Linked DNA regions of Macaca fascicularis. The protein of the gene in region 1 purifies or fractionates together with the protein of each later gene. This does not show direct contact. Links are inferred from orthologs where the notes say so. Each region holds a gene or a part of one and is shown on either strand. Other genes may lie near its edges.

The links.
Region 2: the proteins of RTN4 (region 1) and ATL3 purify together in Homo sapiens (affinity purification with mass spectrometry; 4 studies listed by BioGRID and IntAct, counting the BioPlex papers as one, with this or other methods). This does not show direct contact. The link is inferred for Macaca fascicularis from reciprocal best matches to the Homo sapiens genes RTN4 and ATL3.

Annotation. Positions count from the first base shown.
Region 1 is NC_088387.1:66,810,797-66,817,215, reverse strand, and holds part of RTN4 (reticulon-4), read right to left. Parts: intron 3,874-6,419; coding exon 3,817-3,873; intron 3,135-3,816; coding exon 732-3,134; intron 1-731. UniProt on the Homo sapiens protein: Required to induce the formation and stabilization of endoplasmic reticulum (ER) tubules. They regulate membrane morphogenesis in the ER by promoting tubular ER production.
Region 2 is NC_088388.1:10,750,947-10,757,365, reverse strand, and holds part of ATL3 (atlastin-3), read right to left. Parts: intron 2,791-6,419; coding exon 2,576-2,790; intron 2,443-2,575; coding exon 2,299-2,442; intron 1-2,298. UniProt on the Homo sapiens protein: Atlastin-3 (ATL3) is a membrane-anchored GTPase that mediates the GTP-dependent fusion of endoplasmic reticulum (ER) membranes, maintaining the continuous ER network. It facilitates the formation of three-way junctions where ER tubules intersect.

The DNA.
Region 1 (6,419 bases):
TTCCAATGGTGATGAGCTGGACCGTACTGCTGAAGCACCAGCACTTACATACATAAGCATATTCAGTAAATTTATCCTAATCACTATTTTAGAGAAAACGTAGCCAAATCAGAATACTAATAAAGAGCACATGTGCAAATCACCTTATGCAAATCAGGTATGTGTAAAATGGATAGTCAAAAGAAAAAAAGGAGAATTGGTACTTTTCAAAATAATTCATAAAGCATAACTCAATTTATACTTTTCAACAAAAAGTCTACACTCAATATGCCTAACTTTATACCTACCACTGGAAAAGTACTATACTATATTGAAATATTTAAAACATGCTACAGAAATGTTCTTTAAAAATTAAATATGATAATTTCTGGGATAACAAAAACACATCTGAAAATATTTTAATATCTCTTGCTCTTCATGTTATCAAGAAAAACAAGTGAAATAAATAAATAAATAGGTACTAAAGTTAATTCTTATAAACAGAAATATTTTCTATTAATAGTTCCATAGTGCATTATAAAAGTGTAACTGTGTGGAAAAGTTAAGGGTGAATGCTGAGTGCAAGAGAGTTAGAAAAACCACTACAACCTTTAAGTGAGAAAGTGGAGAAGACTTCTTATCAATGTGACATATTAGACACTATAAACATAACATAAAACACAAAATGTAGTGGAATGTTCCCTAAGTCAAAAAGTGGTATGAAAGCACAAAATGCATATAGATTGGATTACCTGAAGTTTTACTCAGCTCTGCTGAAAATATAGCAGATGGTGATCTGTCCTCCTTTTCTGTATCAGAAGGAAGATTTTTCTCAGCTTCTTTCATAAGAACTTTGGGTTTAACTATGCCGCCTATCTCTGCTTGAGTGGTCAAAGCAGAAACATCTGGAGGCAATAAGAGCACCTTTGATGTAGCAGACCCATTTTTGGAAAAGTCATCTGAGAAACTGATTTTCTCTTCAACTTTGGGTTGTATGTTCTTCAAAGAAAGGTCATGGGGCAATTCTGTGCAAGGCAATGACCCAGCTCCACCCGGGGCATTAGCAATTTCACTTTTGTGGGATACTTCTAGGTCAGTATATTCCCTGGCTAATTTAGAAAATGAATCAGTTTTAGAACTGATCAATGTAGGGAACTCATCTATAATTTCAATTGGAGATGAATCTGAAAATGTTTCAGTTTCTCTTACTTGTGCTTCCTTAGAAAGAAATAAGTCATCATCTGAATAAACTGCAGTACTGAGCTCCTCCATCTGCAAAGGAATTTTCTCCTTTTTGCTCAATGTTGAAACTTCATCAGGTAACAGGGTATCTTTTGTGTTATCTAAATTGAGCTTGAAAGATTCCAAATATGGCTTTCCTCCCTCAGGTGGTAAAGCACTAAGTTTTTCCTTATTTTCATGTTCTATCATTGACTCAAATGAAGTTTCAGGGAGATTTTCTTTCACAAGCATCACAGCTTCATCTTGTTTTTGTGGAACGTCAGGTATGGAATCATCACTAAATAAGTCAACTGGTTCAGAATCAGGTGAGGAATCTTCAACTAGCTCAGAATGATCAGGCACTGGCTGTTCAACTTTTGCCATTTCTGAATAATCAGAGAAATCTGGAGTTGGTTCAGCAGAAAGCTTTGTTTCTTTAATTAAATCACATGCAATAGATATATAAGGAGCTTCTGTTTCTTGAACAGCTGCATTAATGCTTTCAGGCTCTTTAATTTCTTCCTTTATTCCTGATACTTTTTTTAGTGATACACTCATGGCCTCTTCGTATGGTGGGGGGTTTTCAGGCTCGTGTATTATGCTTTCATAATTAACTGAAGAAGCTTCTAATGGTGATGAGCTGGGCTGTACCGCCGAAGCACCAGCACTAGGAACTGCAGAATTCAATGGTGCTTCCATAACAATGTCAGGCAAAACTGGCGAAGGAGTAGCTTCTGATTCTTCAAATGATGGGCAAAGCTGTGCTGCAGGATAGAGGGACTCTTGCATAACTTCTGATGTTTGAACCAAGTCCATTTTTGTTTCATAAGCAATCTTTGTACCAGTAACTTCATTCAATTCACTTTCACATGCTTCCTGTACTAAATCTGGAGTCAGGCCTTCAGGCATGTTTGCCACTACTTCCTCAGTCACCTTTCCTAAATTATCTGTTGTGACATAATCTGTCTCAGAATCCTGTGCTGCTACAAGAAAAGGGTTTGATGTTTTGGTGCTAGTATTCTTCTCTGTTACTATTTGGGCCTTCTTTTCTTCTATTTTTTTTTCATCGGTCTTATTTTCTGAAGTATGATCTCCTAACAAAGGAAAAATGTTTGTTGCAATGCTCTCAGTTGCTGCTGGGTTAAAAGGAGCACATGTGATATATGCTTCTGAACGATCCTTTATAGCTTCTGGTGTACTGGGGAAAGAAGTATCATCATTACTACTCTCACTATCTTTTTCATGATTAGTTTGCTCAAGGCTATCTGCAAAACCTTTTTTATCCACTTTACTTTCCAACTTGCTCTCGACTTTACCTCCAGCAGCCAACACATCACTATCTTCCTTACTATCTTTCACTTCCCATACTCGCTCAAATGGTTTGAAGTCTGCGTATTCCTCCCTCATAGGAGCTTCCACTGCAATTCTCTTTTCATTAAAACTGTCTTTTGCTTTTTCTAAAGACATAACTTCATCCTCTTCTTTAACCAATTTAGTAAGAGCTATAGGCAACTCTTGTTGATTATGAAGGATGTTATTACTAACTAAATTCTCTTCTTCTTTATTTTTCACGATTATTTCTTCCCTAGGATTTGCTACTATTATGGCAGATTCTGCTTTTGGAGAGACATTGAATGATGATCCCATTTCTGAGTATTCTAATTCTGAAAACTCTGTTAAATCTCTATCTACAAGTGGAGTTTTTGCCTTCTCTGAGAACTCTTTAGAAGCTTCATTGACAGTTTCTTGAAGTGTTCCTTCGGTGGGTAATACTGTTGACAAATTACCAAGGTATTCATGTTCTTTAAAAGAAGCAGCTGAGAGAGGAGACAGAGAAGGAAGAGAAGCAGCAGTTTCAAGCAGGACAGATGGGAAATCCTCTTGACCAGCCGAAATAGTGTTACCTGGCTGCTCCTTCAAGTCCATAATATTTTCTGTGACCATGGACAGAAAGGAAAGTTAGAGAATGCCAGTGTTCTCAGAGTTAATGCAAGTTTTATGACAGATTCAAAATAGTGTTAGTAAAGACTTACTGTTTATTAAAATGAAATGTTAATAGCAATTAATAAGTAACAATAGAGTAGACTTTAATCATTACTGAAAATATTAAGCTACTGTAAATATAACATATGCATGGCTACAGAGGCAATTACATGCTATGCAAAGACAAATCAAGTCTGAGTAAACCTCAAATGTTATCAACTAAGATACTAAGAGCTAGTTTTAGAGAAGAGAAGAATATCTGCGAAAAGAGTTTGAGTGACAGTATAGGAAAGAAGGGGCACTGGGAAATTAAATGCCATAGACTGGTATTTATTTACAGGAAAGTCTTTCTGGCTATACTCAAACTATATTGGGAGAAAGGGAATTGTAAATATGTAAATGTAATTCAAGGGTCCAAGAATTCCTTATGTACTTCCAAGAGTTCATCGGATTTTGCTCATTTTTTCCTTGGGCATACCATATCAAATGCAAATTTCAACTTTTCCAGTAGACAGACATTCTTGGAACCATGCTAATTTTTAGTAAATCCAAGCTACTCTGCATAGAGTTAACACACTAAAAAGTTAAAGTTAGAATACAAAGAGGATAAAAGGCTGGCAGAAAAGAACTTGCCTGCAGAGGAGCGTATCACAGGCTCAGATGCAGCAGGAAGAGCAAAAAGGGTCTCATCTGAAAAACAAATAGAATATAACCTCAGCAGAAATAAAGACAGACTGAAAGGAGACTAAAGATCAGAGGAGCAAGCCAGGGTTCAGTTTGTAATAAGTTAACAAAAAACTTTACAGAGAAAGGGCCAAGATCAAAAGGAAGTCAGAAAAAGAAGTGCCATTAATTCAGGTTAAATCATCACATATATTATAAAGTTAATTAAATGTTATCCATAGAACCTATCATTTTTCAAGACGCAATACAACCTGTTTATGTTAAAGAAACTTATGAATCAAAGTGGCTTTAAAATACTGTTCTACTTAACGTATCACATCCAAAGCTTTCACTCAGGTTTTCATATAGGTAAATTGTCTTGTTCTATTCAAGCCAAAAATAAAAAGCTGAATTTGAATAAAATTAACAACTACAAATGTTTAATCTTTTGTTACTGGCGTATGTTTAATTTAGAAAAACACTTTTAAAGAATTACGCATTTTCTCTTACATTCTAAGTTGTTACAGTCATTGTACCCTGTTCTTTGAAGACATTAGTCCTGTGCCAACGTCCAAATGCCAGAGTCCAAAATACAAAAAAAATAATAATAATAATTAACTGCCTTTAGGACGACACTATTATTGGTGTTATTTAAAATTAACCTAAGTGAGGGCTACTTGCTATTTGTATACACAACTAGTGAGAGACAGGCAATTCAATTCCAGAGCCCATTTCCTTAATCACTGTATGTTACAGAACTGAATGCTTATATCTCCTCCAAAACTCATGTTAAAGCCCCAACCCGGAATGTGACAGTATCTGAAGATGGGGACTTTGGGAGGTGATTAGGGTTAAATGCAGTTGGGGGGGGAGGCCTGGGCCGAGGGGATTAGTGCCCTTATAGGAAGAGACACCAGAGAGCTTGCTGTCATGCTCCCTGTCTCCCCAGGCATGGGGAGGTCATGTGAGCACACAATGAGATGGTGGTCACCTATAAGCCAGGAGAAGAGGCCTCAGAAAGAAATCTACCTTGCCAGCACCTTGATCTTAGACTCACCAGCCTCCAGAACTGTGAAAAGTAAATTTCTGTTCAGCCACCCAGCCTATGGTACTTTGTTACAGCAGCCCAAGCTAACAAACACACTCTATATTGGTAATATTAACTTTGTACAATGTCATCTTGAACCTGCAGATGGGAGACCCTAAGCTGTAGGGAAAAGAAAGAAAGATCAGACTGTTACTGTGTCCACGTAGAAAGGGAAGACACAAGAAATTCCATTTTGACCTGCAGCTGAAAAACTACTTTGCTTAAATGCTGTTAATTTGTAACTTTGCCCCAGCCACTTTGCCCCACCTTGTGCTCACAGAAACATGTGTTGTATGGAATCAAGGTTTAAGGGATCTAGGGCTGTGCAGGACATGCCTTATTAACAAAATGTTTACAAGGAGTATGCTTGGCAAAAGTCATCACCATTCTCTAGTCTCAATAAACCAGGGGCACAATGCACTGCGAAAAGCCACAGGGACCTCTGCCTTGGAAAACCGGGTATTGTCCAAGGTTTCTCCCCATGTCATAGTCTGAAATATGGCCTCATGGGATGAGAAAGACCTGACCGTCCCCCAGCCAGACACCCATAAAGGGTCTGTGCTGAGGTGGATTAAAGAGGAAAGCCTCTTGCAGTTGAGATAGAGGAAGGCCACTGTCTCCTGCCTGCCCCTGGGAACTGAATGTCTCAGTATAAAACCCGACTGTACATTTGTTCAATTCAGAGATAGGAGAAAAACTGCCCTCCACTGAGATGTTTGGGCGGAGAGAAACATAATCTGGCCTGCGTGCACATCCAGGCATAGTACCTCCCCTTGAATTTAATTATGACACAGATTCTTTTGTTCACATGTTTTCTTGCTGACCGTTTCCTTATTATCACCCTGCTCTCCTACCACACTCCTCTTGCTGAGATAATGAAAATAATCAATAAAAACTGAGGGAACTCAGAGACCGGTGCTGGTGCAGGTCCTTGGTATGCTGAGTACCGGTCTCCTGGGCCCACTGTTGTTTCTCTATACTTTGTGTCTTATTTCTTTTCTCAGTCTCTCGTCCCACCTGACGAGATATACCCACAAGTGTAGAGGGGGAGGCCTCCTCTTCACTAAGCTAAAGATCTTCTACAGTTTACACTAGAGAAAGGCCTCTACCATAAGACAATTTGTAAGAGCCTGAGAGATGACTGGAAGGTAATATTCCTTGAACAGATTGAACCTAATAAATTTAGACAATTTCATCTGGATGGACAAGCTAGACAAGGCTGATCAAAACAGATAAAAGTCCAAGAGATGTAGCTAGCATGAATATGGACTTACCTTCCAAGTGTATTACCCTTAATGAATTAGGAGAGCTAATTTCACAAGGCCCTATATATTTTAGATAAATATATACTGGGCATGATGTCATATTTAAAGGATTCTTAGATGAGGGCGATGACAGGAAATTTATGATGTGTGTTTAAAAGGGTTTCCTCCAACCTAGAGCAATAGGTAGGATGGGCTATCCAGTCAAAGGAGTAACATAATGG
Region 2 (6,419 bases), on another chromosome or scaffold:
AAAAAAAAAAATTTTTTTAATTTAAAGAAAAAAAGCAACCAGACAAAAAAGTCATATTAGGTACAAAAGAACAAAAATAAGAATAACAGTGTATTTCTTGTCAGAAACAATGTCAGCAGGCTGGGTACAGTGGCTCCTGCTTGTAATCCCAGCACTTTGGGAAGCAGAGGCAGGTGAATAACCTGGGGTCAGGAGTTCAAGATCAGCCTGACCAATATGGTGAAACCCTATCTCTACTAAAAATACAAAAATTAGCCGGGCGTGGTGGTGCACGCCTGTAGTCCCAGCTACTCGGAAGGCTGAGACAGAAGAATTGCTTGAACCCGGAAGGCAGAAGTTGCAGTGAGCCAAGATCCCACCACTGCACTCTAGCCTGGGCAACAGAGCGAGACTCCCTCTCAAAACAAAAAAGAAAAGAAACAATGTCAGCGAAAAGGCAAAGGGGCAACACCTTTGAAGTACTGAGAAAAATACTTTGGCCTGGAACTCTATACTAAGAGTAAATGTTTTCCAAAACAAAGGCAAAATAAAGATTTTTCAGATGTATGAAAGCTAAAAGAATTCAGTACCAACAGACCAGCACTTCAAAATATCAAAGGTGGCCTGGCGTGGTGGCTCACCCCTATAATCCCAGCACTTTGGGAGGCCGACACAGGCAGATCACGAGGTCAGGAGTTCCAGACCAGCCTGGCCAACATTGTGAAACCCTGTCTCTACTAAAAATACAAAAATTAGCCAGGCATGATAGTGTGTGCCTGTAGTCCCAGCTACTCAGGAGGCTGAGGCAGAAGAATTGTTTGAACCTGGGAGGCAGAGATTGTAGTGACAATATGGTGCCACTGCACTCCAGCCTGAGCAACAGAGCGGGACAGCTACTCAGGAGGCTGAGGCAGGAGAATGGCGTAAATCCAGGAGGCGGAGCTTGCAGTGAGCCGAGATCCCGCCACTGCACTCCGGCCTGGGCGACAAAGCGAGACTCCGCCTCAAAAAAAAAAAAAAAAAAGCACAAACAGGCATTAGGGCATGCTTATAGGACTGGGCTAAAAACAGAAGTGATGGATAAAAGTCTGTGTAAGAAACACATGACTTACCCCTCCCGATCCTTACAAAGAAATCTGTGGAGAGGCTCTATGCCCATAGCTTATAAGGCATGGATGAGACTGGGGGTAAGAAGCCCTACTGACAGCTGGGGGGTAGTGAATGCCCACCTTCTGAACAGTGAGATCCCCAATGTCATTTCCCTGCTCAACTCCCAGAACAACAACGCCCAGGTCTGTGCCACCCATACAGGAGTAAGGAAATAAAGAACAGAAGTGGTAACACATAAGAGCATCAGCCTCTGAAAAGTGAAAACTGGGCAGAGAGGAGAATAACACACATGACAGTTGCTTTCTGTTAGAAGCCTTACAGTAGTATTTGACCTTTTAAACTATATTCATGCATTTTATTTAAAAATCTAAAAACAATCAATATGTATTAATTTTAAATCATTCGCTTTAATAAAAAGTTGTTTTCACATCTTCCTTCCTTTTATTGAAAAGGCGCCCACCCGCCCAGCTAATTTTTTGTATTTTTAGTAGAAACAGGGTTTCACTATGTTGGCCAGGCTGGTCTCAAACTCCTAACCTTGTGATCTGCCCACCTTGGCCTCCCAAAGTGCTGGGAATACAGGCGTGTGAGCCACTGCACCCGGCCGCCATTGGCTTCTTTAATTGGTTAAGAGCACAAAATGTAACAGGCAGAAGGTCTGTTTCAAACAAATTAAAATGCTATGTGTTTTTTAAATTCTCCCCAAGTCAAATATACACACACCCACAAAAATTGTGTGTGAAGGAAAGCTGTCATACACAATAAGTTGTATCCTGAATTATTCAAGGAAGCACATGTTGGAATGGGAATTAGCAGAGTCAGCAACAGATTAATATTTTTTAATTGAGTCTTAAAATGCTACATGGCCCTAAGCAATACTACATAAAGTACTGCTAGGTGCAAAGGAGAAAATCTGTATAGCTTTTAGTAAAAATGTTTTTCCAGAAAAGAAAATTAAAATAAAGCAATTAGCAGACCAAGGAGACTACAGCTAGATATCAAAGCTACAACTTCTCATATCTGTGTCAGAAAATCCTATTTTCCGCAATAGACTAAAATTTCAGGACAAAACAGGGACTTTTTAACTTTTCTTTACCGATTTTAAATTCTTTGATAAAAGGTTTTTAATTGGGTTAACACAGTACATGCTGAAGTTCATATTTTGTTGTTGTTGCTGTTGTTAATCTGTAAGGTCATTTTCATCCTTACCTTCTTCCCACCTGGCTTCTCCACAGTGAAAACTTCACTCCAGATCTGAATCCCAGTGGTTTCCGGATCAGATCCCCCTCTCCATGAAAATCCTGTTAACGGTTCTTCTGGGTCACCCAACCAATTTGAATGGCCACTTTCCTTCTACAGAAGTAAGAAATCTCCATTAAATCTTAAATTAAAAATTTTATGCATCAAGAATAATCTATGAGCTTATTTTGCTTTTTTGGACATTCAAGTCTCACTTTTTACTTGAAATAAAATAATTCTATCTTACCTGAGAATATAAGTATCGTAGCATAAAATCCAGAATGAAGGACTTGCCCTTTCGGAAGGCACCAGCCACTGAAACCACCACCACATCAAGATCTCGGATGTGGTCCTGCAAGAGGATGCTGGCCAAGGCTTTCTCATCTAGCTCAAAGGAATGTTGATCTTTCTGAACCAAAACAACCTGCACTGGACCAGGCTTGCTGCTCTCCATGGCATCACCTATGTTCATGTAGAGAAAAAAAAATTAGTGTCAAATATTTAAAATATGTTTTTGAATACGGGGAAAACAAAAACTTCTTAAACAGGGGACAGGGTCAGGCTCAGTGGCTCATGCCTAAAATCACAGCACTTTGGGAAACCAAAGCAGAAAGATTACTTGAGGCCAGGAGTTTGAGACTAGCCTGGGAAACAGTGAAACCCAGCGCTATGAAATTTAAAAAATTAGCCAGGTGTGGTGTACACCTGTAGTCCTAGCTATTCAGAGGCTGAGGCAGGAAGACTGCTTGAGCCCAGGGGTTTGAGGTTGCAGTGAGCTATGATCACACCACTGTACTCCAACCTGGGTGACAAAACTAAAAGAAACAAAAAACAGACACAAAAGTACTAACCATAAAAGGGCAGGGGCACGGTGGTTCGCCCCCGTAATCTCAGCACTTTGGGAAGTCGAGGTGGGTGAATCACTTGAGGTCAGGAGTTCAAGACCAGCCTGGCCAACATGACGAAACCCCATCTCTACCAACAAATACAAAAATCAGCCAGGTGTGGTAGCACACACCTGTAAGTCCTAGCTACTCGGGAGGCTGAGGCATGAGAATAACTTGAACCTGGGACGCAGAGGTTGCAGTGAGCTGAGATCATACCATTGCACTCCCACCTGGGCAACAGATAAGACCCTGTCTCAAAGAAAAAAAGTACTAACCATAAAAGAAAATAAAATGACAACACAGACTTCATTAAAATTAAAAATTGTGTTCATTTAAAGACTTCAATAAGTAAAAATGCAAGTCACAGGCTAGGGAAGAGTATTCATAATATCTATTTCCAAAGGACCCACATCCAGCATCAACATAGCAATCCACAAGAAAAAATAACAGGCACTTTGCAAGAAAAAGACATACAAATCCTATTAAAAGGTACTTCCATATCATTACTCAACAGGGAAATGTAAATTAAAACCACAGTAAGATACCACTACCTGCCCATCAGGATGGCTAAAATTTAAAAGACTGACAATATCAACTGTGGGACAGGGTATGAAGCAACTGGAATTCTCACACATTCTGATAGGAGCACAAAATACTAAAGCCATTTCAAAAAACTGTTTGGCAGTATCCACAAAAATTAAATGTATCTGTGATCCAGCAATTCTACTCCAAGGTATACACCAAGTTATACACCTAAGAGAAATGAATGCCTACGTCCACCAAAAAACATATATACAAGAATGTTGAGCTGGGCATGGTGGATCGCACATGTAGTCCCAGCTACTTGGAGAGCTGAGGCAGGAGGATTACTTGGGCCCAGGAGTTCAAGACCAACCTGGACAATATTGCAAGACTCTATCTTAAAAACAGAAAGTTCCTATCAGCTTTACTCAAAACAGTCCAAAAGTGGAAATAAAACAATGTCTATCAATAATAGTGTGTTTGCCACTGCTAAGCTTTCTATATATTTAATCCTCAGAACAACTCTGATGTAAATAATATTGCTTCATTTTAAAAAGAAGGAAATGGCCAGGCTCAGTGGCTCACACTTACAATCCCAGCACTTTGGGAGGCCAAGGCAGGCTGATCACTTGAGGTCAGGAGTCCAAAACCAGCCTGGCCAACATCGTAAAGCCCTGTCTCTACTAAAAATACAAAAAAAAAAAAAAAAAAAAAAAAAAAAAATTAGCCGGGCATGGTGACACATGCCTGTGGTCCCAGCTACTCAAGAGGCTGAGGGAGGAGAATTGCTTGAACCGGGAGGCAGAAGCTGCAGTGAGCCGTGATCGCGCCACTGCACTCCAGCGTAGGTGGCAGAGAGGTCTCAAAAAAAAAAAAAAAAAGAAGGAAATGAAGGCTTATGAAGGTTCAGCATAGTGCCCAACAGTTCCTAGAAATAAGCTCAAAAAGATCTTTAGGTGGTTGTGTTTTGCATATCACTAGTAATAACTCAAAAAGTTTTAGAAGCAATTAATTCTGTAGTTCAAAAATAAGCACTAACTAGTATTATACTTTCCTTACCAGTTTCCCTACCAAAGTACAAAGATAATTAATTTGAAATTCAGGTCAGCCACAGCGTCCACGCCTGTAATCCTAGCACTTAGAGAAGCTGAGATGGGAGGATTGCTTGAGGCCAGAAGTTCAAGACCAACTTGGCCAATACAGCGAGAGATTGTCTTGAGAAGGGAAGAGGGAAGGGAAGAGGGGAGGGGAGGGAAGGGAAGGGAAGGCAAGGGGCCGGACGCAGTGGCTCACCTGTGCAAACCCAGCACTTTGGGAGGCCGAGGCGGGCAGATCACCTGAGGTCGTGAGTTCCAGACCAGCCTGACCAACATGGAGAAACCCTGTCTCTACTAAAAACACAAAATTAGCCAGGCGTGGTGGTGCACGCTTGTAATCCCAGCTACTTAGGAGGCTGAGGCAGGAGAATCCCTTGAACCCAGGAGGTGGAGGTTGCGGTGAGCCGAGATTGCGCCACTGCACTCCAGCCTGGGAGAAAGAGTGAGACTCCGTCTCAAAAAAAAAAAAGAAAGAAAAGAAAAGAAAGCAAAAAAGAAATTCATTCAGGCCGTGCGTGGTGGCTCATGCCTGTAATCCCAGCACTTTGGGGGCCAAGGCGGGCAGGTCACCTGAGGTCAAGAGTTCAAGACCAATCTGGTCCAACAATGGTGAAACTCTGTCTCTACTAAAAATTAGCCAGGCATGGTGGTGCGCGCCTGTATCCCAGCTACTCCAGAGGCTGAAGCAGGAGAACTGCCTGAACCTGCATGGTGGAGGTTGCAGTGAGCCAAGATCGTGCCACTGCACTCCAGCCTAGATTTCAGAGCGAGACTCTATCTCAAGAAAAAAAAAAAAAGAAAGAAAGAAATTCAGAGACACTTAGTAGCTGTGGACTTACGGGAAGTTTACAAAAAACTACCATTGGGGCCTAAGGAGTGAATAAAGAACTATTTCCCTAAGTGTGAGTGTCACTGGTATTAAAGATGTTTTTAGGTAGTTAAAAGGACATAGTAATTTTAATAATTATGCATTTTAATGTATACTTTAAAACAACAAATCTGTATTTTAATAAATTATTCTTTAGAAGGATGCTAAATTTAACAAGTCTGTTTATTTATTTAAGACAAGGTCTGGCTCTATCACCCAGGATGGAGCACAGTGGCACTATCTCAGCTTATTGCACTCTCCGCCTCTCCGGCTCAAGTCATCCTCCCACCTCAGCCTCCCAAGTAGCTGGGACTACAGGCATTCATCACTATACCCAGCTAATTTTTGTATTTTTGGAGAGATGGGGTTTCACCATGTTGCCCAGGACCGTCTTGAACTCCTGAGCTCAAATGATCTACCTGTCTCAACCTCCTAAAGTGCTGGGATTACAGCGACACCATACCCAGTCAAGAAGTCAATCTAAAGTAGACTTGAGGAGACATATTAAGTAAAGCTTAGTACTGACAGGCAGACATGGCCAAAATCACAAAGATGGTTCCAAAATGACTTTGTCTAACCAGCACTGAGGGCTACACGATCATGGCAGGCAAAGCAGACAAAACAGTTTGACTGCAAGACTCTCTCCCCTTTAAGCCACTGGAATTGCTGCTCACTTTTTACATTTATAGTATCAGATAGCAACAAAAGGGTTCTTCG